Kluyveromyces lactis: one gene and its partners. Each later gene encodes a partner of the first gene's protein in a complex. Links are inferred from orthologs where the notes say so. Each region holds a gene or a part of one and is shown on either strand. Other genes may lie near its edges. The genes, in order: SMD1, PRP6, SMD2, SME1 and SMX2.

Region 1 (4,402 bases):
TATGAAGGGTGTATTGATGCCGAAAGGTCACAAGCACGAACGTCTACTAGAAGGAAAAGTAGCCAAGATGGAGGAGGCTATTAAGAATGCCGATAAATACATTCTCGAAGCAAAGGGTTCCAAGTACAAAAGAAGATTAGAAAAGAAACAAAACCAAAATACCAGAAGTTGGTTCTAATGGTGCTGATAGGTTCACTCCCCCCTTACCTCTGGCCCCATCACGCATATCCTAAACACACCTAAGACCAACATGGGTTGTTCTTTTCACCTGTAAATATTTAGTCACCATGCATGTATATTGCTTATCTAGATCAAATTGCTCTGCAAATATATATAAATATTATATATATCACCAAGAACTATAAATCATTATGAATGAGAAACCAATTTGATAGAGGGCAGATATCAAATATAAAGAACAAAAGAGCTCAGCTGCTACTGTCTTCGACACAGTTTAGTATTATTCATAACACACACAATGCCTAACGAATTCTACGTGGAGGAGAACTTGTCTGGAAAGCAATTGAATCACCAATCAGCGTCTTTGGTAGTTCCTCAAATATTTAGAAATAAGGTATCGTCATGCATGTATTATAAATTTAATTTAACGCCCGCAAGTTTGAGGGGAGATACCATTGTCGAACTTATACCTGTTATTGTGAGAGATTTCGGGACTATGGATGAGCGGAAAACCCCGCATGTGACTGTCTTAGGTGGTATAGAGTTCAAATGTCTATTGATGAAATTGATCAACCTGCGACCTCCGTGGGAACAACTAAAAGTATTACTAGAACCGCATGAACCCTTAAACAACAAGTATATTGCAGCACTGGTATTATGTTATATGAGAATCTCGTATTATTTCTTAACTGAGAGTAATCCTTCCGAGCAAGATATATCGTTCAATTTATTACATGATTTAATGAAGAAATATATACTTGATCATAGAAAATTAAAAAGTTACTCGTTAGATATGGATTGTTGGTCATCATCGATTAAAAAAGAGATTAAATTGATACATTTCGATGAGTTGATAGACTGGTTATGCGACAGGAATGAAATTTGGGGCATCCCCTTAGGAAAATGCAATTGGTGTAAAATATGGGACGATGAAGAGGACGATGAGAGCTCAAGCGACTCGGACTCCAGCTCTGATCCAAGAGATGACAGTGATCAAATTTGATTCCATTCTTTCTTTTTTTGGAGGCATCGACTGGAAAGAACGGCTATTCATTATGAAAGATAATTATCAATAGTGTTTAATCATTCATCAAAACAAAGTCCATAACATCACTACATATTTATTTCCACATATGTTTTCTGATGTATATTAAAATGCCCTCTTTGGACGTTTAGGAGCATTCCCGTTACTCTCAAGTGATCTCTTCTTATTCGGATCACTTCCCACTTTACCTTGTTTCCTCAACCTGTTGACTTCCTGTTGGTCTACAAGCAACGCATCCAAATTGATACTATCTGGTAAAATAATCTGCCTTATCGTATTACCCCTAATGTTGATGAACTCGAGGCTAGTTGTTCTCTTAGATTCTTGTCCTTGTGTCGATCCACCTGACAATAAGACGGCAGCCAAGGTAGCTTCTGAGGTCTTAGTAGGGAGTGTCAGCCTGACGTCAGTAAGAGAGACGTTCATCTGCGGTGACACACTCCTCACTATTCCCCAAACAGTGGTACCATTCTTCAACTCTATAGACACCCTTTCATTCTTTAGTTTCTTTAAGAACCCTGTTAACTGCATTTTGTCTGTATATAAAACTTCGTTGTTTCAATCGGACTAAAGATACACCAGAAAGCTGTTACCAGTTTCAAATGGTTTTGATGAAAAAGAGTTTTGAATTTTGCAAAAGTAACAGATGATCCACAAGCAACTTCCTGATTTTGATAAAAGATCAGGATTTGATCGTAGTTACTCAATTGACATATTCTACATAATGATGGATGAAATGGTTCAAATTGATACTCAAGAATCAATGGGGTCGTTCTTTCCTGGAAAAGAGTGGAAATTTCATATTATCACGTGCCTTAACAGGGTAACTCATTTGCGTGAGATTCCAATGGTTTCTTACATTCGAGCGAGCATGTGTTCGAATCTTACATGGAACCCAAAAAGTATTTAGATCCGTTGCATCTCATGTTAAATGGTTAACAGATACACGGAGAAGTGCGATAAGAAACTATCCATGCAAGCGATAACAAAACGTTCTGTCAGTCATTGCTTTGATAAAATCTGGATATATATATATATATATATATATAGATGTTAAAGTCAGATATTACTCTTTTCATATCTCATGGATCGCAAGCTTTCAAGGTTACTGCTGCTCGCATCGAGAGATTGGGAGTATTAAAGATTAACGCCAAGAGTAAACATGTCGTCATCAGTAATCTTGAAGAGATATAATATTTTACTCAAACGTAACCCGTTATTAACTAAATGCATAACAGGCGCGGTATTAACTGGGTTAAGCGAACTGTTCAGTCAATGGGTTAGTCTGTCTCCAGAGGAAAGAAAAGAGAAGCTAAATTGGATCAAAGTGGCATTGATGAGTCTATATGGTGGTCTATTTAACGCACCAGTTAATCATTTCAGTTACAAATGGATAAACGAATACACAATTAGGAAAGTGGTATCCAAATATAGAAGCTTGGTCCAGTTAGGCTGCTCATTAGGCATGGTATCGCCTATTCAAGTGTTAGGGTTACTATTTACCTTGACTTCTGTTAACAACGGTAAGGTTGACAAAACAAAAATTATACACGCAATCAAGACAAGATATGCGGCAATGTTGTCTTCCAGCTTGGCAACATCAACGGTATTGATGTCAATTGCTCAAAGATACATTTCACCAGATAAATGGTCCGTATTTTTTAGTTTGGCATACGCAATTCTGGGTACGGCTCAGAATATTTATTTGAAGAAATTCAAGAAATAAGGGTCTTGATCCATTCTGATAAAATATTACTTTCATTCTTCAAGGAAAGAATCTCTCTCCGCAAATTCTCTTGAATCATTCGGTTTTTATCGTCCTCAGTTTGATCGTTTTCTGAAGACAAAGATATTGGACTCATCGGTAGTTTATTCCAATGTTCCAATTCGCTTTTCAAGCCTCTGTTCTCGTTTCTTAGCTTCTCGACTTCAGCATTGAGGCGTTCCAGACTTTGCTTTAAAGTCATGACTTCCTTATCCTTCAACCCAAGTTCATAGGTCAACTGTGCTAAATCTCCTTCTAATTCTGTAGTTCTAATATTCACCATCGATCGATGAAAATTATGGCGAGTGATATGCGTGTGTAATAATCCTTAGTTGAGTTTGCAAAATGAATTTGTTGTTAGTCCACAAAGCTGCTAATATTAAAAAGTCCTGTCACACTCCCTTTAAATATCAAGTGTCAGAGATCAGAAATAATATTCTGCACATTTGAATAAATGAAAGGGCACGTAAAAGAGAACTAAGCCAAAATATCGAGATGCCATCCATTGGTGCGATGTCTGCATATTAAGTTGGTTTGTCTTTGTGTTTAGGTCCATCAGACTGCCTTCCTTTTCTACTTTTTCTCTTTGATTTAGCTTTCTTATCTGATTCACTTGATGGATTTTTTTCTGGCTTAGTGTTTTCCTGCTTACGCTTCTCCGATTTCATTTCCTCCACATTGGCAGATTTAGACTTTATTTTTACCTTAGGAGTAACTTTAGAGGGAGTTTCCTTTGTTTCTTTGCTTGTTAAATCCTTCTTTACATCCTTGTCTTTGTCTTTATGTTTCTTTGATTTTTTACGTCTTGCTCTCTTCGTTACCTCCGAATCTGCAGGCATCTCTGGTTTGGGAACATCATCTTTCTTTGGTTTCAACAAAATCTTCTTCTTTGGCTTTTCTTCGGATGTTACCGCACTCTTCTCAGTTGTCGCAGTGTCAAATTTCGATGATTTCGGTTCAGATTTCGATTTAGGTTTAGATTTGGATTTGGATTTGTGTTTGGATTTAGACTTTTTGGGCTTCTCAACTTCTGATTTATCCTTAGAAACATCTTTCTCGTCCGGATTATCCTTGTTCTTTGCCTTAGCACGTTTCAGCTTCCTCTTCTTCTCTAATAGTCTTAACTTTTTCTTAATCTTTTTGATCCTCTTCTTCTTTTCTTCGCTTGTTGGATCACCAGCCAATTCTATTAGTGCTCTTTGCTTACGTCCGTTTAACTCTTCTTCCATTTTTTCTTCACGTTCTAATTCCTTTCTTAAAGGTGCAATAACACTTAAATTCTTGAACTGTAATGAGTTGGTTTCATCTTCATTAATCAATTTCCATGATTTGACAAAGGTTTGAAAGACATGGTCCTTTTGAATCGTGCCTTGAATAGGATTAACCTCGTTGGGACTGACCCACTTCTTAAC
Region 2 (6,242 bases), on another chromosome or scaffold:
CACTCCAAACAACCATTTCTAGAATACTTACGCTTGACGATTTTCCCATCTGCATCTGTCGAGGGTGTTGCACCCGATGCATCTACGGAAGAGATTCCAGATGCAGGTGACATAGATGAACGATCACCTTGTAAAATATCAGAGATCGGCGATAGATTGGTAACTAGCACATCTCTTGGACTTGGTCCGATAGAAGTAGGTGTATTTTTCAACTGAACCGACTGAGGACTAGTGATTACGTGTTCAGAGGAAAGTCCAAGCAGAGTAGCAGTACTGGGCACTGAATGCGGACTTGGATGCGCTAGTAACGTCGAAGGAGACAGAATATGTCTGCTACTAGCTGGGAATAGTGGCGGCTGGCTTGCCCTGACACTTTGGGTCGGTGCTGGTGCCTCAGGTGCCGCACCTTGAGACACATACGATGCTGGAGTGAGACAATCCAAACTCTCATTGCGTCCCTTGCCGAACGACATACTTTTTCTGACCTATCAGTATATATATATAACTTCCCTGGTAAAAATGACGTGGACCTCGGCGGGTATTTAAGACTCTCAACAGCTGCTATCGATGTTTTTCACTTCACCTCCGATCCCTGTCGACTACCAATACTCTTCGCAATTTCGAAGTTCCATTTTGGTTGTTCGTTTTCAAATTTTCAAATTCCACTGGAAAAAGTTCTCTTTGATAGATATAAGAGCTGACTCTTTCATAGCAGAGAATCAGATCACAACGGAAAAATACACAGAACTGCCGCATATACTGGGTTAGTTACGATTGAGGAACGGAACTTCTGACAATGCGGAAAGTCAATTTACAGTCGCATCAGTGTTGTCCCAATTTTTATTATTACAATCTTACAATCTTACATTCTATCTAATTATTGGTGTAAATTGTTGATAATGCTGTGCAAAATATCAATCGGAGAGTTTGATATGTGTAGGTATGAGTTTACTGCGGGCTCCCATAGTATACCGTACCTGGGTTCATTTTCTTTCAATTTCTTTAACGTTTTTTCTTCATTTATTTGCAAATCAACTGGATTCATGCACGACTCGCAGATGTAGAGCCATACCCATGGGTCCCCAAATTGAAGATTATTTTCCGAGGCTCTTATGAACCATTTATATGCCTTCGCGTATTGGTGTTCCTTTTGGAACACTTTTCCGATCTCAGTTATCACCATTGGATGCTCTTTTGTAGCTTCGAGAGCATCTTGGAATGTGGTTTTACGTAGTGATTTTTTAGGAAGGGTTCTGATGTTTAGACACCAGAGCCTCCAGCTGTGTGGACACGCTTTGAGACCCTGAGCGATGAGGTACGTTACTTGTTTGTTATCTTTCACTTGCAGTTCCAATGTAATGAGAGCCTCGTAGAGTGTATCGGATTTTGGATTCTTTAGTAGAGAAACGCTGAGTATTGAACGCGCTTTGCCCCAATCTTGTGTTTCCATTACCAGTCTGGAGAACTCCAAGCACACTTCTGGATCATGATTAGAAATATCCGTAGCCCTCTGTAGCACACGCTTCGCTGATGAAAGGTCCCTTTGTTGCCTGTATAGCTGTGCTTTCAAGATTAGTAAATGTTTGTCGTTTGGTTCACGTGCCAAAGCTATATCAACAGTAGAATGAGCTATTTCCAAACTGCCTTTAGATTGCAAACACTTAACGTAAAAAGGAACTAATTTATCAATGCATTCTACCAAGTGTGATTCGGCTTCTTCAAAGGAATTTATAATCTCATCCAATTTGCCATCTCTGTTCAAAATTTTGAGTTTAGCCAACCAAAACTCAGGATACGCCGAATTTGTCACCAGAGCTTTATCTAAAATCGACAACGCTTCAGTGGAACCAGAACCCCAATCCCAAACGTCTTTCGCATACATTAAAACCAAGACAGGGTATTTCTTTACCGCTTGAGAATCTGTAAAGAGGATCTTCCTGAATGTTTCGTGTAGCTCTAATTTCCGCGAAAAGTCTTCGGCGAAATTGGTGAACTCCTTCCAAATAGAGTACTTTGTTGGATATTTGATTAGGAAGGAGGAAAACAAGGTACACTGAAGTGTGGTGTCGTTTACCAACAGCTTCGAGAGACTTTGGAAATTTGAGGATGCGTCTTCAAATAAGTTATTGATGGTAGCTGTGATGATTGCTTTCGCTGTTAATGGATACAATCCTTCTGTTGATATAGCGACTGCATTTTCGAACCACTCAGTAATAGTTGGATTAACTTCCAGTTCATGAAGATCCTTTATTGCGCTAGAAATGATATTTACCAACGTATCGAGATTTGCGGTCGTTCTTTTTTCTTCGAGTTGACATTTGAGAAGCCAGTATGTGATGTCTTTTTTAATATGTTCTTCAGCAGATTTCAAGGTGTCCACTGCAGATTCGACTGATTGTAACCTTATCAACTTCAACCATAACTGCGAATCCTTCGGCACTAATTCAACTGCTTTCTTCAAAATTTTCAGCTTTTCAAGAGTGGAAGTTTCAAGATTTACCGCCACTTCCCATAATATAGAGCTTAGTGGTAGTTTAATTAGAGCCTTTCGAGTGACTTTAATTTTATCAGTATTGTGTTGTTCGAGGGCGATTGCCTTCAACCACAACTGCTCACTAAACTCGTTGAGCCTTAAGGCAACTGTAACCAACCTCTTGCAATATTCTTTATCGGATGCGTTCATGCGTATCGATTCTAACCAGATAGCTTCACTTTTAGGGCACAGTTTACAACCTTCCGCTAGCAAACTTTTGGCTCGATTGAACTGATTGGCTCTTTCTTCGATTCTTGCTGAAGAAATCCAGTTTTCTGGATTTCTTGGATGGGATTTACGATACGCGGCTAATAGGGATCTGTTTTTCCTAATGTCTTCCAAATCCGTAGATGAAATAGTGTTGTCATCTTGGTTCATTCTATTCAAGTATTCAGCATCATCCGTAAGTTGACTTTTGCTGTAATCAAAACTCTTATCTATCTGGACAGCAAGTAACTTTTCCCTCTCTTCAGTTAACTTGGATAAGTTGACATTAACCTGGAACAAAGTGTCAGGAGCAGCGAATGTTTTCCTTTCAAGTTGTTCCTCTATTCGATTCCTTTTGTTTCGTCTGGTCATATCAGATGCGTCAGGGATATCCAGCCAGTCTTGCTCAGAAAGAGTTGCTAAATTACGCTTCAAATCTACAAATTTAGAAGATAGCTTGTCTGGTTCATCATCTGGCTTCGTCTTTAGGCTTGTTTCATTGTCGATAATTTTTTTATTCTTAAGTCGCTGTTCGATCTTTTCGTACACTCTCATCTCTTGTTCGTCTTCATCTTTAACCTGTTTCTCCGATGATTCATTCGAAACTGCTGATCTGTATCTATTTGGATTCTTTGTTACAGAAGTATCTGGTGCATCTCGCCCATATCTATTCAATCTAGCAGGAACTCTTTTATCATCTTTACTTCCTCTGGTGGAAAAGCCAACCGCTCCACGACCTATACCAGCGATGTAACCAGGTGGTGGAGATTGTTTTAGGAAACTGGGAGTCTCCATGCCTATCACCGTGATAGTTGTTTACTCAGATGATTTACTAGTGAATAGTTTACTGTATGAGATGTCCTTTCGATACAAATTTTAAAGGTTTTGTTTTTAAAGATATTCTACAGATTCTTAAAACAATAGAGAATAAGCGTTGATAGAAATAAATATCGATTCTGCTTAGAAAGAATTAAATATGCAGGCTAATATATGAGGAAATTTGCAGAATCTATAATACCGAATATGTTCTATATTTGTAGCAGATAAACTATTATCTAGCTAGTGCACAAACAATTAATTAATGAAAGTTCCTAAAAGGCGCTGAGGCCATGAGAAAGAAAATATCAATCTGATGATTATGATAATTGGTAATCTCCACCGTAACGTGGTGCGTTCAAGATGATACCGTTCAAGATACCTGCAATGAGACCAGCCATTGGAAGAGTTAAGAACCAACCACTGTAACAGAAAGCGACCATTCTCCAGTTAACGGATTTCAAATCCCTGTTACAAAGACCAACGGCCACAATACCACCGACAGCAACTTGAGTAGTAGAAACAGGAATACTTAATTGTGTTGCCATAACAGTGGTAACAGCAGCACCAAGTTCAACGGAGAACCCTCTGGATGGAGATTGCAAAATCATCTTGTTACCCAAGTTCTTGATGATTCTGTAACCGTATGTCCAACAACCGAGGACCAATGCAGCGGCACAGTATGCTAAAACCCATGTGTGAACGTCAGACTTAGATTCCACAGTGTTTTTCTGCCAGATGTCATACACGGCAGCTAGTGGTGCAGTGGCGTTGGCAACATCATTGGCACCGTGAGCAAAAGACATAGTGGCGGCGGTAATAGCTTGCAAGATAGAATAGATGAATTCGATTCTGTTGTCATAGAAGGCAGATCTCTTGTACATGTCCTTGAAATCTGTTGACAAAGCACCTGTATCGTAGACCTGAGAATGAATAACATCTTGAGTCCAACCGTGAGAAGCAATCAACCAAAGTAATAGAGGCCACTTCTTTGGTCCTTGTTTTAGCAATGACCACCATAGCTGTTTGGTAGTTGGTTTTTCTTCTTGCAAAGTTTCTGTTTGCACCAATTTGATACTTTGGTTGACAGATTCCTTGTCGTTAATTTCAATATGTCCCTCTACAGTATCTCTTCCATCGGCGGTGTGGGAAGTTTCAATTTGGGTTTCATCATCTCCGGCAGTTTCATCTTCGAATCTTCTACCTTCGTAGTAATCAATGGTTAAAGATTGTCCAGCAGGTAGAGGTGGAATGTCGTCAGTGGACTTGAAGTAGAAAGTTGGGCCTCTGTAAATATCATACCATTTTAGGGTCCAGTCTCTGTGCAAGATTCTTCTTCTGTAGTATGGGTACAAGAAGATGAAGTAAACAGCACAAGCGACTAGACCAGTAAGAACAATAGCCAATGCGGTAGTTGTGCCAGACAATTTATCCAACTTCAAGTTTGGAGAACCCTTCCAAACGATCAACATAGTCAACACCGAGAAGGTAGCGAACACCAAAAATCCGACGAGTAGTAAAGCGTTCTTAATAGCTTTTTCAATTGGCTTAACATCCAAGACCAGGAACTTGGAGATCAAGAAAATAATAGTGACCAAGCAACCGGCTAAGATTGGAGCAATAAACCAAGAAGCAATAATTTGAGAAACACCACCCCAACCCCATTGGACACCCTTGGCACCACCGGCAGCAATACCGGCACCGATGGTACCACCAACGATAGAATGAGTCGATGACACTGGCATACCAATAGATGTCGCAATTGAAAGCCAAGTGGCAGAACCGACAAGAGCACATGCCATAGTTAACATTAACACAGCTGGATCATCTTCGAAAGGTGAAGCAGAAATAATATTGTTCTTGATGGTACCAGAGACTCTAGCACCCGCTAAGACAGCCCCCAAAAATTCACATAAAGCAGCAAGGATCATAGCCTGCCAGTATTTCAAGGATCTAGATGAAATAGAGGAAGCAAACGAGTTGGCAACATCATTGGCACCAATATTGTATGCATCCAAGAATGCAAAGAGCATTGTAATGGCAAAAATGTAATCAAACTGTTGCAAAGCCATTTTTGTTTAGTTTGTTTGCACTGATGTGTTATTAGATCTGAATTTTGATCAGCGTTTAATTTGCACGTATTTTCAAATATTAGAAAAGAAAAGGAAAAAACGCCTATAGGACAGATGGTTTGACTAATTTATGCTTGTTCTGTTGCTTTCTTTGGTAGCTAGCTTCAAAATGGAAGTTAAATAGATGCTGCTGATGAGTACACTTGCTCCCTGGTGCAATGTTCGCTTGCCTTTTATAACTAAAAAAAATGAAAGGAAAAAAAAGAACCCTGGTGGGGTCCTTACGAATTAAATTAACAACTTTTCAGCACTACTTTCTCCCATGCAGACAGTAATAATCATAAAATAAACGTGGGCATCAATCCATCCCAACTTTCCCATCCTTCCATGTATTAAAATTAACAACCTAATGCTACAGAACACAGGTAGTATTCCAATACTCAAAACATTCCATTGATCACCAAAACTCTTACTCTTTCGCACAGTAACTACAGTGCAATGTCTCCACCTCGTAGAAACGATAGTGAAAGAGGTTGTCCAATATGGTAGGAGTATAGACAGTCTTTCGTATCTAACTCATCGATGTCAGAAAACAAAAGAAATTACTACCTTTT
Region 3 (4,506 bases), about 460 kb from region 1:
TTCCAATGAAAATTCAGAGATTATCAAATCTTTTAAGAGTTTCATACTGGAATTCAGACTAGATTCCAACTTCGTTTACAGAGAACAACTGAGAAATAACCTGTTGGTTCATAAATACTTCCTTGACGTGAATACGGAGCATCTTATTGGATATAATGAAGATCTATACAAAAAATTACAGGATGAACCGATAGATATTATCCCGTTGTTCGAACAAGCAATAACTCAAGTGGCAAAGAGAATTGTTTTGTTATCGCAAGATTCTGATATTGATCCAGAGACAGCGTTGTCGAACTTCCCACTATGTCAGCTCATTTTAAATTCCAGTTCTATGGAAATTCCATTAAGAAGTTTGGATTCGGATCACGTTTCTAAGATCGTCAGAATTACAGGGATCATCATCTCATCCAGTGTCTTGACATCAAGAGCCACTCAGTTATCGCTAATGTGTAGAAGCTGTAAACATATGACAACTTTGAAGTTGAACAATTTCCAGAATTTGAATAACAATAACGTCCAGTTACCTCGTGAGTGTCTTGCAGATCGTTCCAACGAAACAGATGAAACAGCAGCTTCTTGTGGCCCTGACCCATATTTAATCGTACACGAATCGTCACAGTTTATTGACCAACAGTTTTTGAAACTACAAGAATTACCGGAATCCGTGCCAATTGGTGAATTGCCTAGAAATTTACTAATGACATGTGATAGATATTTGACCAACCAAGTTGTTCCAGGAACAAGAGTTACCATTATTGGTATTTATTCCATCTACCAATCCAAGAATAAGAGTATTAATAGTTCTGGAAATAAAGCTGTGGCGATCAGAAACCCTTACGTGAAAGTTATCGGGATCAAACACCTATCAAATAATCCGTTAAACAATTCTCTATCTATGTTTTCGGAAAGTGAAGAACAAGAATTTTTGGAGCTTTCCCAACGACCAGATCTATATGAACTTTTCGCCAACTCAATTGCTCCCAGTATCTATGGTAACACTGATATCAAGAAAGCCATCGTTTGTCTCCTTATGGGCGGATCGAAGAAATTGTTACCAGATGGTATGAGACTAAGAGGTGATATCAACGTGCTACTGCTTGGTGATCCTGGTACTGCAAAATCCCAACTGTTGAAATTTGTGGAAAAAGTTTCTCCGATTTCGGTATATACATCTGGTAAAGGTTCTTCTGCAGCTGGTTTGACGGCAAGTGTCCAAAGAGATCCAACTACACGGGAATTTTACCTAGAAGGAGGTGCAATGGTGCTTGCTGATGGTGGTGTTGTCTGTATTGACGAATTTGACAAGATGAGAGACGAGGACCGTGTTGCCATCCATGAAGCCATGGAACAACAAACTATTTCCATTGCTAAAGCCGGTATCACTACCGTTTTGAATTCTAGAACTAGTGTCTTAGCTGCAGCAAACCCTGTTTACGGTAGATATGATGATTTGAAATCACCGGGTGAAAACATTGATTTCCAAACTACCATCTTGTCCAGATTCGATATGATCTTCATTGTTAAAGATGATCACAATGAAGCTAGAGATATCCAAATTGCGAACCACGTCATGAACATTCACACAGGAAGAACTCAACAAAACGATCCAAATGATAATTCCAACTCCAACAACGAAATTCCAATAGAAACTATGAAGAGATATGTTAGTTACTGTAGGTTAAAATGTGCCCCCAGGTTATCTCCTGAAGCAGCCACAAAATTATCTTCTCATTTCATCACTATTAGAAAACAATTACAAGAGTCCGAAAGACATTCCAATGAGAGGTCTTCCATTCCAATCACAGTTCGTCAATTAGAAGCCATAATTCGTATCACAGAATCTTTAGCTAAATTAGAACTGAATCCAGTAGCGACCGAAAAACATGTTGATGAAGCCATTAGATTATTCCAAGCTTCTACGATGGATGCTGCCTCTCAGGATCCTATCAACTCCCAGGAAAATGATACAACAATGCTCTCACAAATTAGAAGAATCGAATCTGAATTGAAAAGAAGGTTGCCAATAGGATGGTCTACAAGTTACAAAACTTTGCAAAGGGAATTCGTTGTGAACAAGAAACTTCCCCAATATGCGCTAGATAAGGCGTTATACCTGTTAGAAAGACATGATTCTATTCAACTAAGACATCAAGGTCAGAATATTTATAGAAGTGGAGTATGAAGTTGCAAATGAAATTCAGGAACCCCTCCTTGAACATTGTCTATAACTCATATGTACCACTGTGTATAAGGAATTTCAGCGACTATGTGTTGATATTTATATAGTGTAAGATTACCCGGATAATGATAATGATAATTGGATAATCCGAAAGAAAACAACTGGATGGTATATTGGGTTTGATGCACAGGATGAGATGATGAGATGACCAAAGAAGGAACCTCTCATATCATATGGCAATCAGGACAAGTTATCACAAACTTACGAGATTGCAAATATCATAAGCCAAGGACTTATCTTCAGGATTTGTCTGTTACATATACTAGAAAATTGACCTAAAACACGATGGCCGATACATATATTCCAAAGACAGACCTTTCAAGGTCTGAACTATCTAGAGACGAGCTAACACAACTAGAAGAATTCGAAATGAAATATGGACCCATGTCTCTAATCAGGGAATCAATGCTACAGAGGACACCTGTTATAATATCACTAAGGAACAATCATAAACTCATAGCTCGTGTGAAATCTTTTGACAAGCACTGTAACATGGTTCTGGAAAACGTTAAAGAAATATGGACAGAGAATGTAAATGGTAAGAAGGTTAACAGAGAGCGATTCGTAGCGAAACTCTTTCTTAGAGGGGACTCAGTGATTATAGTGGTAAAGACATGAACCTGTTTTTATCATCCCATCAACATCCTTTCTGAAGTCACGTGTACTGATATGTTCGCTGCCACTGAAAGCATCAAGTAAAAGGGTTATAGAGCTAATAATCTGATCAAATATCAGGACAAAGATGCATTAATCTTCTGTGAAGCCTTTACCGCATTGAACCAATGTAACTTTCTGATCTGTGCCCGGATTCTCCCTAGTTTTTATATGTCGAATTCCAAACGGCGCATACTCAAAATACGTAATTCAAGCTCAAAAGAACCGTTTAATCCTCTATAGAACTAGATATCAATACATAATACGGCTCAAACCATACAACCCAATACATCCCTTATTTTACAGCTAAGGGGTTGCCTTACCAAATTCAGTATACTGCTAATCACTATTTTTGCCGTTTTAACGTAACGAATACTCAGTTTGGATATTTCACGAATGATATTTCTTCATATTTTTTTTTTTTTTTTTTATTTTTCACTTTCATGAACTCTTTTAAAAAACTAGTCAAATCGCTCTTTTATATCACAGGGATAAGTCAAAGCGCAAAACCTAACTGAAATACATCAAAACAATCACAGGACAACGTTAGGTACTATTGTCAAAGAGTTATATATTAAAAAGAGGCGTGTGAAGTGTGCTTTTATTCTATAGCTTTCACAACTGACAATGGAAAGGCCACAGGACGAGGGAATGAATCCTCCAAAAGCTGGATTGTCTACAATTATAAAACCTTTGGACATAGTGATAGCGCAGTATGACTTTAATCCGCTAAGGAAATCTCAATTACGGTTTTTTGCCGGTGATATTATCTACGTTATATCGAAGAGTGACTCAGGTTGGTGGGACGGTATTTTATATTATAATAAGAGCTTGGTTTTGAGGGGCTGGTTCCCCAGAAGTTATACTAAATCAATAAAGGATACCAGTTCAAGTCGGAAGATATTTCCTCTGAATTACCATGGCAGCAATGCTTTTAATAATAGGCCTAGTAGCCATGGGTCACGGAGGAACAGTTTGAGGATAGGCAGCCCATCTGGGAATATGAATATTCGTTCTACGTCTGGGTCAAGAAGGGGATCTTTGGTGAGTACCGGGAACTTTAGAAGGAAAAGTCTTGGTACGACTACTTTCCACGATAATCATGATAATGCAATAAATAGTGGGCAAACGCTACTGTCGACGTCTCCTTCAAATTCTGCAAGTAGTGTCAATAATTCTAGCCCGTCATCGCATTTGAAACAGGATTACCAATTCGATATGAATCGCAGATCCTTCTCTCACTCAAGGAGCAAACCAAATGCAACCTCCAAATCAAGAAGTGCATCAACTAGCAGTTCTCGAAACTCTTACTGTCGTTCATCTGAATCTTTATCCAAAGCGCGGTCTCATTCAGAATCCCGTAACTCAGATCATTCATACAGTAAACATTCTGTATCGTCAATACGGTCCCCACATACTCTTCATGAGTCAGAAATCAACATTCTTTCTACTAAAGAAGTTGAAATGCTCTTAAATAACATGTCAAGACAAGAGGTTGTGCCGGTATGGACCCCGGTTTTGACTACAAGCAATAATTTATTATACTTCAATAAAGAAATGAACATTTATTGTACATCTTTACCTATATCAAGGACACCTGAACTAAGCTTAAA
Region 4 (4,382 bases), on another chromosome or scaffold:
GTGTAGAAAAGGCATTCGCCTCGGACAACCAAGATGTATTAAGAAATAAGTTGTCTTTGTCGACTTCTCAACAAACAGCAAGAAACGAAGGTGAAATTTCGGATGCATTATTTGGTACTTTGGGCAACGGCAAATACGTAGGTTTGCCAATTGTGAAGGAATTTTTATCTGGTGAGATGGAACAATTTAACCAGGAAATTAATACCAAATTGGATGAATTAACTAAACAAGCGGAAGAACGTAAAGACTCTGTCCTTTGAGATATATCTTTTAGATAATATCACTGACACAAAAGAAACCATATGAACTTAAGGTATTCTCCCCAATCTGAGCAACACATTGTAAATAGATCCATAAGATTACGAACAATATATCTTTATTAGCCTTGATAGTGCTTGTCGCCGTTATCGAAATTTCAGTGCCTTTCATTTTTCCGTTATAATATACAGGCTTATATAATTACACGACAGAGTCCGATCAATGCTTCTACACTCTAAGCATCTTTCTTTCATCCTATTATCATTTTCTGAGTAGGCATTATCAATTTGCCACAACAAGTGTTATATTATCACCTTTCAACATAATTCTCCCAAGAAACACTGCTTTATCATCGCTCTCTTTACCACTTTTCGGATCTACAGCTATTTCGAAAGCGTCATCTATTACCACATTCATGAACTCATCAAAGCCTCTGATCTTGCCTCTTATACGTGTCTGTACTTGTTCGTATAACCAAAACGTTACTGTTGTCTGATGATGAAGGTAGTTGTATATGCAATTGATTGGAGGTACCATAGGAGCTCCTACTTTAGAGCCGGACATTTTAGACTTTTTCTAGAATCTTTCGGTGTATTGAAGGTCGATGTTAGTGTAACTATAATCAGATCGCAGTTATCCTTTATTAATGTCAGTCACTAGTGCCATGTTGAATTCGTTTGATATTAGTTTAATAGGATTATTGTTAACATATTAAAAAAATTTTATATATTGAATCAACCAAAACATTTGATCTTACTTATGCACTATAAAAGGAACTCATAAAAACTGCCACAGCAGATACCGTTGAGCAAGAACGACGTGATTGATCAATATTGATGTTGTATCAAATCCCAGATATCAAGAGTGCATTGATTTGTACTCAAAGTGTTTCTGAACAGGAGAAGAAGATACAAGCTTTACAATTTTTGGAGCAATTTCAAAAGAGCATAGAAGCATGGCAAATCTGCTTCGAAGTATTAAGCAAGCATGAAGCAGACAACTTACAGTTGCAAATGTTTGCTTGTCAAACTCTAGTGAACAAAGTCACCTATGATCTAAACCAGGTCAATACCGAATTAGAGAGTTTCAAGGGAAAGCTCTTTGAGTTCATCGCTATGTATGAAGAGAAGATCATAGTAACACAGTTGAACGTGGCACTAGCCCGATTTACCATTCAGTATCTTGATTGGAGGAATCCGCTAGTTGAAATTATTAATACTCTAAATGGTCTTCCGGGAAAGTTACTACTGTTTTTGAAGATTCTCCCAGAGGAAACATTGGATATCAAATCCACTCCTCTATCCCAAGATGAATTTGAGTGTAGAACACACGAACTTATAGATAACATTGGAGAAGACGTATTGAAATTTTTGATTTCATGTTTGGATAGAGTCGGAACTGAAGGCATATCTGCTTCTAAAATCATTTCGTGCTTTGGATCGTGGTGTTATGAATTTCCAATAGAACAGGTATTACAAGTGACTCCATTGATAAACACCGTGTTCCAAGTCTTGCATACTTCATATGATACTGATTCTGATTCTTTTGAAGCTGCAGTAGAATGCTTATGTGTGTTATTAAGAGAAACGAGAGACGCAGCCAACGATACAATCATACATGCGCTTTACGAGCAACTTTTAGCTTTGCAACAAAAGCTATTGCCAATCACAACCATTTCTGACTGGGAAGAATACGAAGAGATTATGGATCCACTCACACGTTTATTCGTTGAAGCTGGCGAAGCGTGGTGTGTTTTTCTTGCAAAGAATCCTGCCTTATTCAAACCATTGGTTGAAGTCATCTTGGTATTAACTTGCAAGAACACTGACCTCGATATCGTTTCGTATACTTTCCCATTTTGGTTTAATTTGAGGCAAATGTTAGTTTTACAACGTTACGCTCAACAAAGAAAAGAATATCAGGATGTATTTATTAATTTAACGAATGGTTTGATTACACATTTGCATTATCCGGAAACTGTTTTTGAAAATAAGGAAGATGAAGATAAATTTAAAGATTTTAGGTATAACATTGGTGATGTACTTAAGTCTTGTGCTGCTGTCTTAGGTTCAACCGTTGCATTGCAGCAACCATATAATCTTATCAACCAATATCTTCAGAAAGAAGATCCTAACACGGTCTGGCAACCACTAGAGGCTGCCTTGTTTGCTGTTCGTACAATGGCTCATGAAATTTCTCATACTGAAAACGTTGTGCTACCCCAACTTTTCAAACAACTATGCATACATCCACTAACTCACCCCAAATTGGTTTATTCTACAATACTCGTATTCTCGAGATACACAGAATGGACCAGTAAACATGAGGATCTACTGGAAATCCAATTGAATTATATATTCAATGGATTTGAAGCAGGCCAATCAAATCATGATCTCTCTGTTGCTGCCTCCAATGCATTAATGTATTTCTGTCAGGACTGCTCGTCACTTCTTGTTAATTATTGTGGCCAGTTAGTGGATTTTATTTGGAAAATTGAACGCGCAGTTGACAACTACTCTATGTTTGAGATGTGTCAAGGCTTAAGTTCTGTCATAAATGAGCAGGAAACAGCGAAGATTGGTGGCATATTCAATTCATTCACCTCCCAACATAATAAGAGGTTTGACATTATCATTCAGCAATTCATCTCGAACCCATCTGATCCTGATCTTTCTGCAAAAGTTGCACACTATATTGATTTGCTTTATGCAATTTTGGAGAACATTGTCCCCAAATTCGAGTATCCAGAACAAGGTGTTGAAGAACCGTTAATTGCCTCTATTTCCGAACATATTACAAAGTTAATTAACTTATTGGACGCATATGCGATCTCTAATGTTATCATTGTCGATAGAACAATGAAATTCTTCCGTCGTGTTTTCGAAAAATACCACCTATTCACACAACCAATACTTCCGGCGGTCTCAGAATTTGTGGCTAAAGGTTATTCAACAAGTGGTCTAGGAGCGTATTTGTGGTTCTCTGGTTCAATTATTTACGTTTATGGTGACGATGAATATTATCCTGTCGATGTACAGGTCAAAGAGGCAGTGTGGCAATTTGCCTGTCAGCAATGTTCTACATTCTTCAATAATTTTAAGTCAATGCAAACATTAGACAAATTCTTTGAAATGGTTCACGACTTCTTCCTTATGTGTAATGATCTTTTAATGTTTTTCCCTGAACATATGATGAACACTCCTGTGCTTATTTCGTCCCTAATACAATGGGATTTAGAGAGTCTTCCAAAACTCGACAATTTTGAAGCATATATGACATTGATCAGATTTTTAGATGATTTATCATCTTGGGGGTTCAAAACTCCACCTATCTCTGTTACGTCAATAACCGAAGTACCGGACGCTTGGAGATGTACAATATTGGAACAGGTAGTCTCTAAGAATGGCTCAAACATAGTTACAGCATTAATTAATGGCCTTGTGACTAATTTTGACAGTAGAGCTCACCAGGAAATTATCAGTTTAATTGTAAAAATATTCAGATTGGCTACAGAAAACAATAACAATGATCCATCTGTTTGCTTAGAATGGTTAGACTCTGCTTTGAGAAAAATGGGAACTATTGAATCTAACGAACGTAGCAAACTAATGAGCATCGGTAATGCATTAATACAGAGGGATTATAGACGTTGCAGGGGTAATATCAAGGATTTCATCGATTGGTATTTAAGGAAACACATTTCTTCAAGAATGTACACATAAAGTCAGGAAAGAGTACGCTTTGAAAAATAAGATCTAATTCACAATATTCGCTTATGATTCATGATGAAACTTTGTCTGATTCCTTTTATTTCATTAGTGAAACGGTAAATAATATATAAGTATTGTCAAATTGATTAATAGTATTAATTGAAAGTTATTAGTCATAAAAGTAGAGGTTATAGGGAAACTGCAACAGCGACATACTTAAAAAATAAAAGTTTTAAACGTTCTGGTGAGAAAGTTTCTTTAAGACTTCAGGATATGCCCTGAAGATTTCGTCGAATCTTTCTGGGTAAGATAGGTGGAAAACTTCCGGATCATTACCCAATGCAACGAAGAAGGTAGCAGTTCCGGATCTGATGGTCTCTGTAATCACGTTGCAAATTTCCATAGCAATGACGA
Region 5 (4,246 bases), about 340 kb from region 1:
TCGCATGGACCTGTGTCGTTACCGCATGTTTGCTATTGATCTTGGACAGGATCCCATTCCTAAGATTGAGATTGAGACCTGAAGAAGAAGAATTGGGTACTGATGAAGCTGAAATTGGTGAATTCACCTACGAAGAAGACGCTGTCTACATTCCAGAACCAATCAGATCCAAATCCATCGCTGAAGCTCCTCCAGCAAACATCGATGACAAGATTCACACAGGAAACAACTCTTCATCAGAACTACAATCTGAACCAAAAACTACTTCCGCTAATGCCTAAACTTTATTAATGTAATAATTTTGGTTTTGCAAATTTCAGAAACTGCAATTACACGAAATGTTCTTTTATTATCTGCTTTCAGCTGCTAATTGTAACCGTTAACCCTGATTTTACTGGTGAATCATTCTAAACTTCATTTATTCATTTCAAGCTAACACCAGTTCACACCAAAGTTTGGAAAGGAGATCTACTTCTAGCCGTCTTATGTGTTCAGTAATATCTAGTTCCTAATATGACACTTATGTACCACAATAATTAATAACGAATCTCTCATAAATCCCTTTGTTGTATAGCCATTCACGACCTTTGTATCAGGTTTGGCGTTCGTCTAGTTGCTGCTATGAGATTCCCTCCAAATCCGGGTAATATAAACAAGTAAGACGTTAAATTCAGCATCTGATAGAATAATCGATATAACTTGAGTAAAATCCTCATCGGTTTGAGTAGTGTTACCGACTCTAACCAGCGCTTCAAGAGACCAAGGTATATAAAGGGTAACTAAGGTCTAATATGAGTAAAGAGCAACGTGATTCGAGAAAGACTCAACTATGGAAGATCAATCTATGGAAGATCTGGTATGCAGTTAACATTCCAATCATTACGTTTTTGGATTCGAATGCAGTACTTCCTCCATATCTTCAATATACTAAGGGACTTCTAGATGGTTATATTGATAATTTCAATGATTTTCTAACTGCCAATCCTCCAAACTGGCTCAAATATATGACAATCATTGAAATTTTATTCCAACTGCCTGTGGCCATATATTGCTTATACCAGCTGCTAAACTTGTCAAAGTCAAAAACTATCAAAAGAACTTTATTCACAGTGGACCGTCTATCTAAATGCTATGCATTCAATGTCATCACCACCACTAGTTTTTGTATATGGTACGTTTGGGCCTATGGGTACTATCCAGCCACGATGAATACCGATCACGTGTCATTGAGTAACCCGGACAAACTGGCGCTAACGATGGTCTACGTTCCTTATGTTCTAATTCCAGCATTATTCTTTGTATAGGCACAATGATTAAATATGAACCATGATAAAAGAACCTTTATAGTCTCTTTGTTACATCAACAATTGATATTACCATTCATTTCTACCATCATCCTGCCGTTAATTGGAATTCTTACCATGTCATTACCAGAAGGATACACAATTAGAAGAACCAAGAAAGATGATTTTTCTGGGGTTACATCTGTGCTGAAAGTGCTAACGATGGTTGGTGATGTGAGCCAAGATCAATTCCATTCACTAATAGACCATTGGGATTCAGTCACGATAGGAGATATACCTATGTACAATAGCACTGTGATCGTTGACACAAATGGGGAAGTTGTCGCCACAGGAAACGTGCTAGTCGAGAAAAAAGTTATTCACGAATGTGGGCTTGTTGGTCATATTGAAGACATTGCAGTGAGAAAAGATCAACAGGGGAAGAAATTGGGATTGATATTAATTCAGTATTTATACAAATTAGCTAACGAGTATGGATGCTATAAAGTTATTCTTGATTGTGATGAAAGTAATGTTGGATTCTATGAGAAATGTGGATTGAAAAAAGCTGGTGTCGAAATGCAAATCAGATTCGACAAATGATGTTGTAACCAGTGTGCGCTCTATCATATCTATCCTTCCTTTCTACTAGCATAATTCATTGTACGTAAATGTCACTAAGTAAAGTGTTCCGACACATTGAGTTGTATTTGTCTCCCTTCTGCTCTTACAAACTGTCAAGAGGTTCTATCGATACAATGGAGTTACCTCTAACAACAGTCTGGGGTCCCATTTGGACCTCTCCTTCTTCGAAAATCTGTATTGGATTATCCAGTACTAAGTTCAAAAATGCATCATATCCTCGTAATATTCCAATAATTTTCCTATTGCCGTTAAGCTGTAGAATGAGTTTCTTGTCCATGTACTGTTTGCAACGAATCATATTATAGTTAGTAATTTAAATTCTGATAAGATTTTTCCTGGAAAACAGGGGTAAACATACTTTTCTCAAATCTGGAGATGTCATGGAATATTGGATGGTTTATAATGGGTCGTACGGAAGTGATAAGTCGTAGATATAGTCTCTTAACTCTTGGCAAAAGTCCTTCGAAATTTATCTTCAGTATATTTCAATTGATGAATTTTGTACATAATTATGCTTTTTCCATTCAAAAGTAATTTTCAATGTCACAATGTTAAGAAGACAACGATGGTCAGAATAAGTTACTAAAGCATATCGACCCTTACTGAAAACATTCGTTGTCATTGGCATGAATTTCAATCCCGAGCTAAATATGGTAAGTAGGGATAACTAGTAAGAGAATATCAAAACGATAAGTATTATGCGCTAAGTGCAATTATATATATATATAGGGAAATTGGTATTTACATGATGTTAAAGGGTTTTATAAAATAATGTGCAGTATATGCAATTACTGGCTATGACTGCTGTAAGTGGTACATGAATAATGAGAATGCCAATGTCGTAATTAGTTCATCCAATCAAAGAATTATGAAAGAATGAAGGTGGAATGTATGACGGGAGAGCATATATGCGATTTAAGGATTTCATTCCCCTCTGATCTTCTTTAAAGTGTTAGACAAGAAATTTTCCAATTTCTTGATGGTTCCTTCATTGTTTTCAACTGTGTCTTTATCAGCAGAGGAAGAGTTGTCCTTAGCCGACGATCCAGAGGGAGTAATGGTCCTTCTTGCAGTGGTATCATTGGTCAAGTGGGCCAAGGTCTCCCATAGATAACGTTCTGTTTCATCCTTTGGTTTTTTGATAACAATCTTGAACTTGACAAGCATGTCACCCCTGTCACCTCTAGCTCCACGAGGGACACCCTTATTTGGAATTCTGATGACTTGATCGTGTTGAGTACCAGAGCTGACCTTCAATCTGATCTTTTCTTCCTCTACGGTGGGTACTTCAATGACGCCACCTAGTGCTGCCGTTGTAATTGGGATTTCCTGAGTGTAAATGATGTCGTAATTATTTGAAACTTGGAATCTTGTGTCTTTCCTGACTCTGACACGAATCAACAAATCGCCTCTGGTTAAATGCAATTCAGATTTCATGGACGGATCGATAGCCATACCGGGGTAACTACCTTGGTTAGGTACTCTAATTGTGTCACCGTCCTGAAGTCCGTGAGGTAAGTCTACGGTGATAGTTTTATTTGAATTCAATTTGAAACCGTGGCTATGACAGGTACCACATTTATCGCTGTCCTTAATAGTTGAACCCTCACCATCACATGTTTGACAAGTAGAGGCCATTTGGAAACCTGCTCTTACATGTACCTGAGTACCTGTACCATGACATGTAGGACAAACACTTCTCGAATGTCCAGCTTTCAACCCACTTCCATCACATGACGAACACGGATCGTAGCATTGGTAATTCAATTTGACATTCTTCACACCGAAGACGGCATCTTTGAAGGATACTTGGAATGGTACAGTGACATTCTCACCTTTATATTCACGGACAAAATCGGAACCGCCAAATCCTGCTCCATGCGAACCAGCTCTCCTGCCTCCGGCACCACCACCACCACCACCACCAAACGCACTTCCGAAAAGATCTTCAAAGTTCAATCCACCGAAATCGAACCCTCCAAAGCCTCCGAATCCTTGTGCACCACCAGCACCAGCACCGCCATAGGCACCGCCTGGTCCACCGGCACCACCAGCTTGGCTGAATGCAGCAGCACCGAATTGATCATACTGTTTCCTCTTATCTTCATCGCTTAATATTTCATACGCGTTTTGCAAATCATGGAACTTCTTCTGAGAGTCTTCTTCCTTATTTATATCCGGATGATACTTCTTGGCCAGCTTGTAGTACGCTTTCTTAATGTCGGACTGACTGGAGTTCTTGTTAATCCCAAGGACCTTATAAGGATCCTTAAACTCTTGTCTTAGAAGTCTTGCCGTATGGAATTGACGTGGGTATT

The links.
Region 2: SMD1 (region 1) and PRP6 share a complex: the UniProt entries of both Saccharomyces cerevisiae proteins name them as parts of the U4/U6-U5 tri-snRNP complex. The link is inferred for Kluyveromyces lactis from reciprocal best matches to the Saccharomyces cerevisiae genes SMD1 and PRP6.
Region 3: SMD1 (region 1) and SMD2 share a complex: the UniProt entries of both Saccharomyces cerevisiae proteins name them as parts of the sm core complex. The link is inferred for Kluyveromyces lactis from reciprocal best matches to the Saccharomyces cerevisiae genes SMD1 and SMD2.
Region 4: SMD1 (region 1) and SME1 share a complex: the UniProt entries of both Saccharomyces cerevisiae proteins name them as parts of the sm core complex. The link is inferred for Kluyveromyces lactis from reciprocal best matches to the Saccharomyces cerevisiae genes SMD1 and SME1.
Region 5: SMD1 (region 1) and SMX2 share a complex: the UniProt entries of both Saccharomyces cerevisiae proteins name them as parts of the sm core complex. The link is inferred for Kluyveromyces lactis from reciprocal best matches to the Saccharomyces cerevisiae genes SMD1 and SMX2.

What each region holds. Positions count from the first base shown.
Region 1 is NC_006040.1:319,070-323,471, reverse strand, and holds SMD1 (mRNA splicing protein SMD1), read right to left. Parts: upstream 1,757-4,402; coding exon 1,331-1,756; downstream 1-1,330. Other genes in the region: MRPL25 (mitochondrial 54S ribosomal protein mL59), read left to right, coding at 1-178; U4/U6-U5 snRNP complex subunit PRP38, read left to right, coding at 479-1,183; KLLA0_D03751g (uncharacterized protein), read left to right, coding at 2,388-2,951; KLLA0_D03740g (uncharacterized protein), read right to left, coding at 2,941-3,273; UPF3 (Upf3p), read right to left, coding at 3,515-4,402. UniProt on the Saccharomyces cerevisiae protein: lays a role in pre-mRNA splicing as a core component of the spliceosomal U1, U2, U4 and U5 small nuclear ribonucleoproteins (snRNPs), the building blocks of the spliceosome. Also binds telomerase RNA and is required for its accumulation.
Region 2 is NC_006042.1:394,904-401,145, reverse strand, and holds PRP6 (U4/U6-U5 snRNP complex subunit PRP6), read right to left. Parts: upstream 3,536-6,242; coding exon 878-3,535; downstream 1-877. Other genes in the region: LYS14 (Lys14p), read right to left, coding at 1-473; PHO89 (Pho89p), read right to left, coding at 3,877-5,628. UniProt on the Saccharomyces cerevisiae protein: Participates in pre-mRNA splicing. Part of the U4/U5/U6 tri-snRNP complex, one of the building blocks of the spliceosome.
Region 3 is NC_006040.1:780,332-784,837, forward strand, and holds SMD2 (mRNA splicing protein SMD2), read left to right. Parts: upstream 1-2,524; coding exon 2,525-2,857; downstream 2,858-4,506. Other genes in the region: MCM DNA helicase complex subunit MCM5, read left to right, coding at 1-2,182; Ras family guanine nucleotide exchange factor CDC25, read left to right, coding at 3,521-4,506. UniProt on the Saccharomyces cerevisiae protein: Plays a role in pre-mRNA splicing as a core component of the spliceosomal U1, U2, U4 and U5 small nuclear ribonucleoproteins (snRNPs), the building blocks of the spliceosome.
Region 4 is NC_006037.1:204,473-208,854, forward strand, and holds SME1 (mRNA splicing protein SME1), read right to left. Parts: upstream 823-4,382; coding exon 541-822; downstream 1-540. Other genes in the region: mitochondrial 37S ribosomal protein PET123, read left to right, coding at 1-260; mRNA transport regulator MTR10, read left to right, coding at 1,095-3,980; PNS1 (Pns1p), read right to left, coding at 4,201-4,382. UniProt on the Saccharomyces cerevisiae protein: Involved in pre-mRNA splicing. Binds and is required for the stability of snRNA U1, U2, U4 and U5 which contain a highly conserved structural motif called the Sm binding site. Involved in cap modification.
Region 5 is NC_006040.1:658,201-662,446, reverse strand, and holds SMX2 (mRNA splicing protein SMX2), read right to left. Parts: upstream 2,311-4,246; coding exon 2,287-2,310; intron 2,209-2,286; coding exon 2,011-2,208; downstream 1-2,010. Other genes in the region: KLLA0_D07744g (ammonium transporter), read left to right, coding at 1-281; EMA19 (Ema19p), read left to right, coding at 792-1,304; GNA1 (glucosamine 6-phosphate N-acetyltransferase), read left to right, coding at 1,320-1,886; MDJ1 (Mdj1p), read right to left, coding at 2,853-4,246. UniProt on the Saccharomyces cerevisiae protein: Plays a role in pre-mRNA splicing as a core component of the spliceosomal U1, U2, U4 and U5 small nuclear ribonucleoproteins (snRNPs), the building blocks of the spliceosome.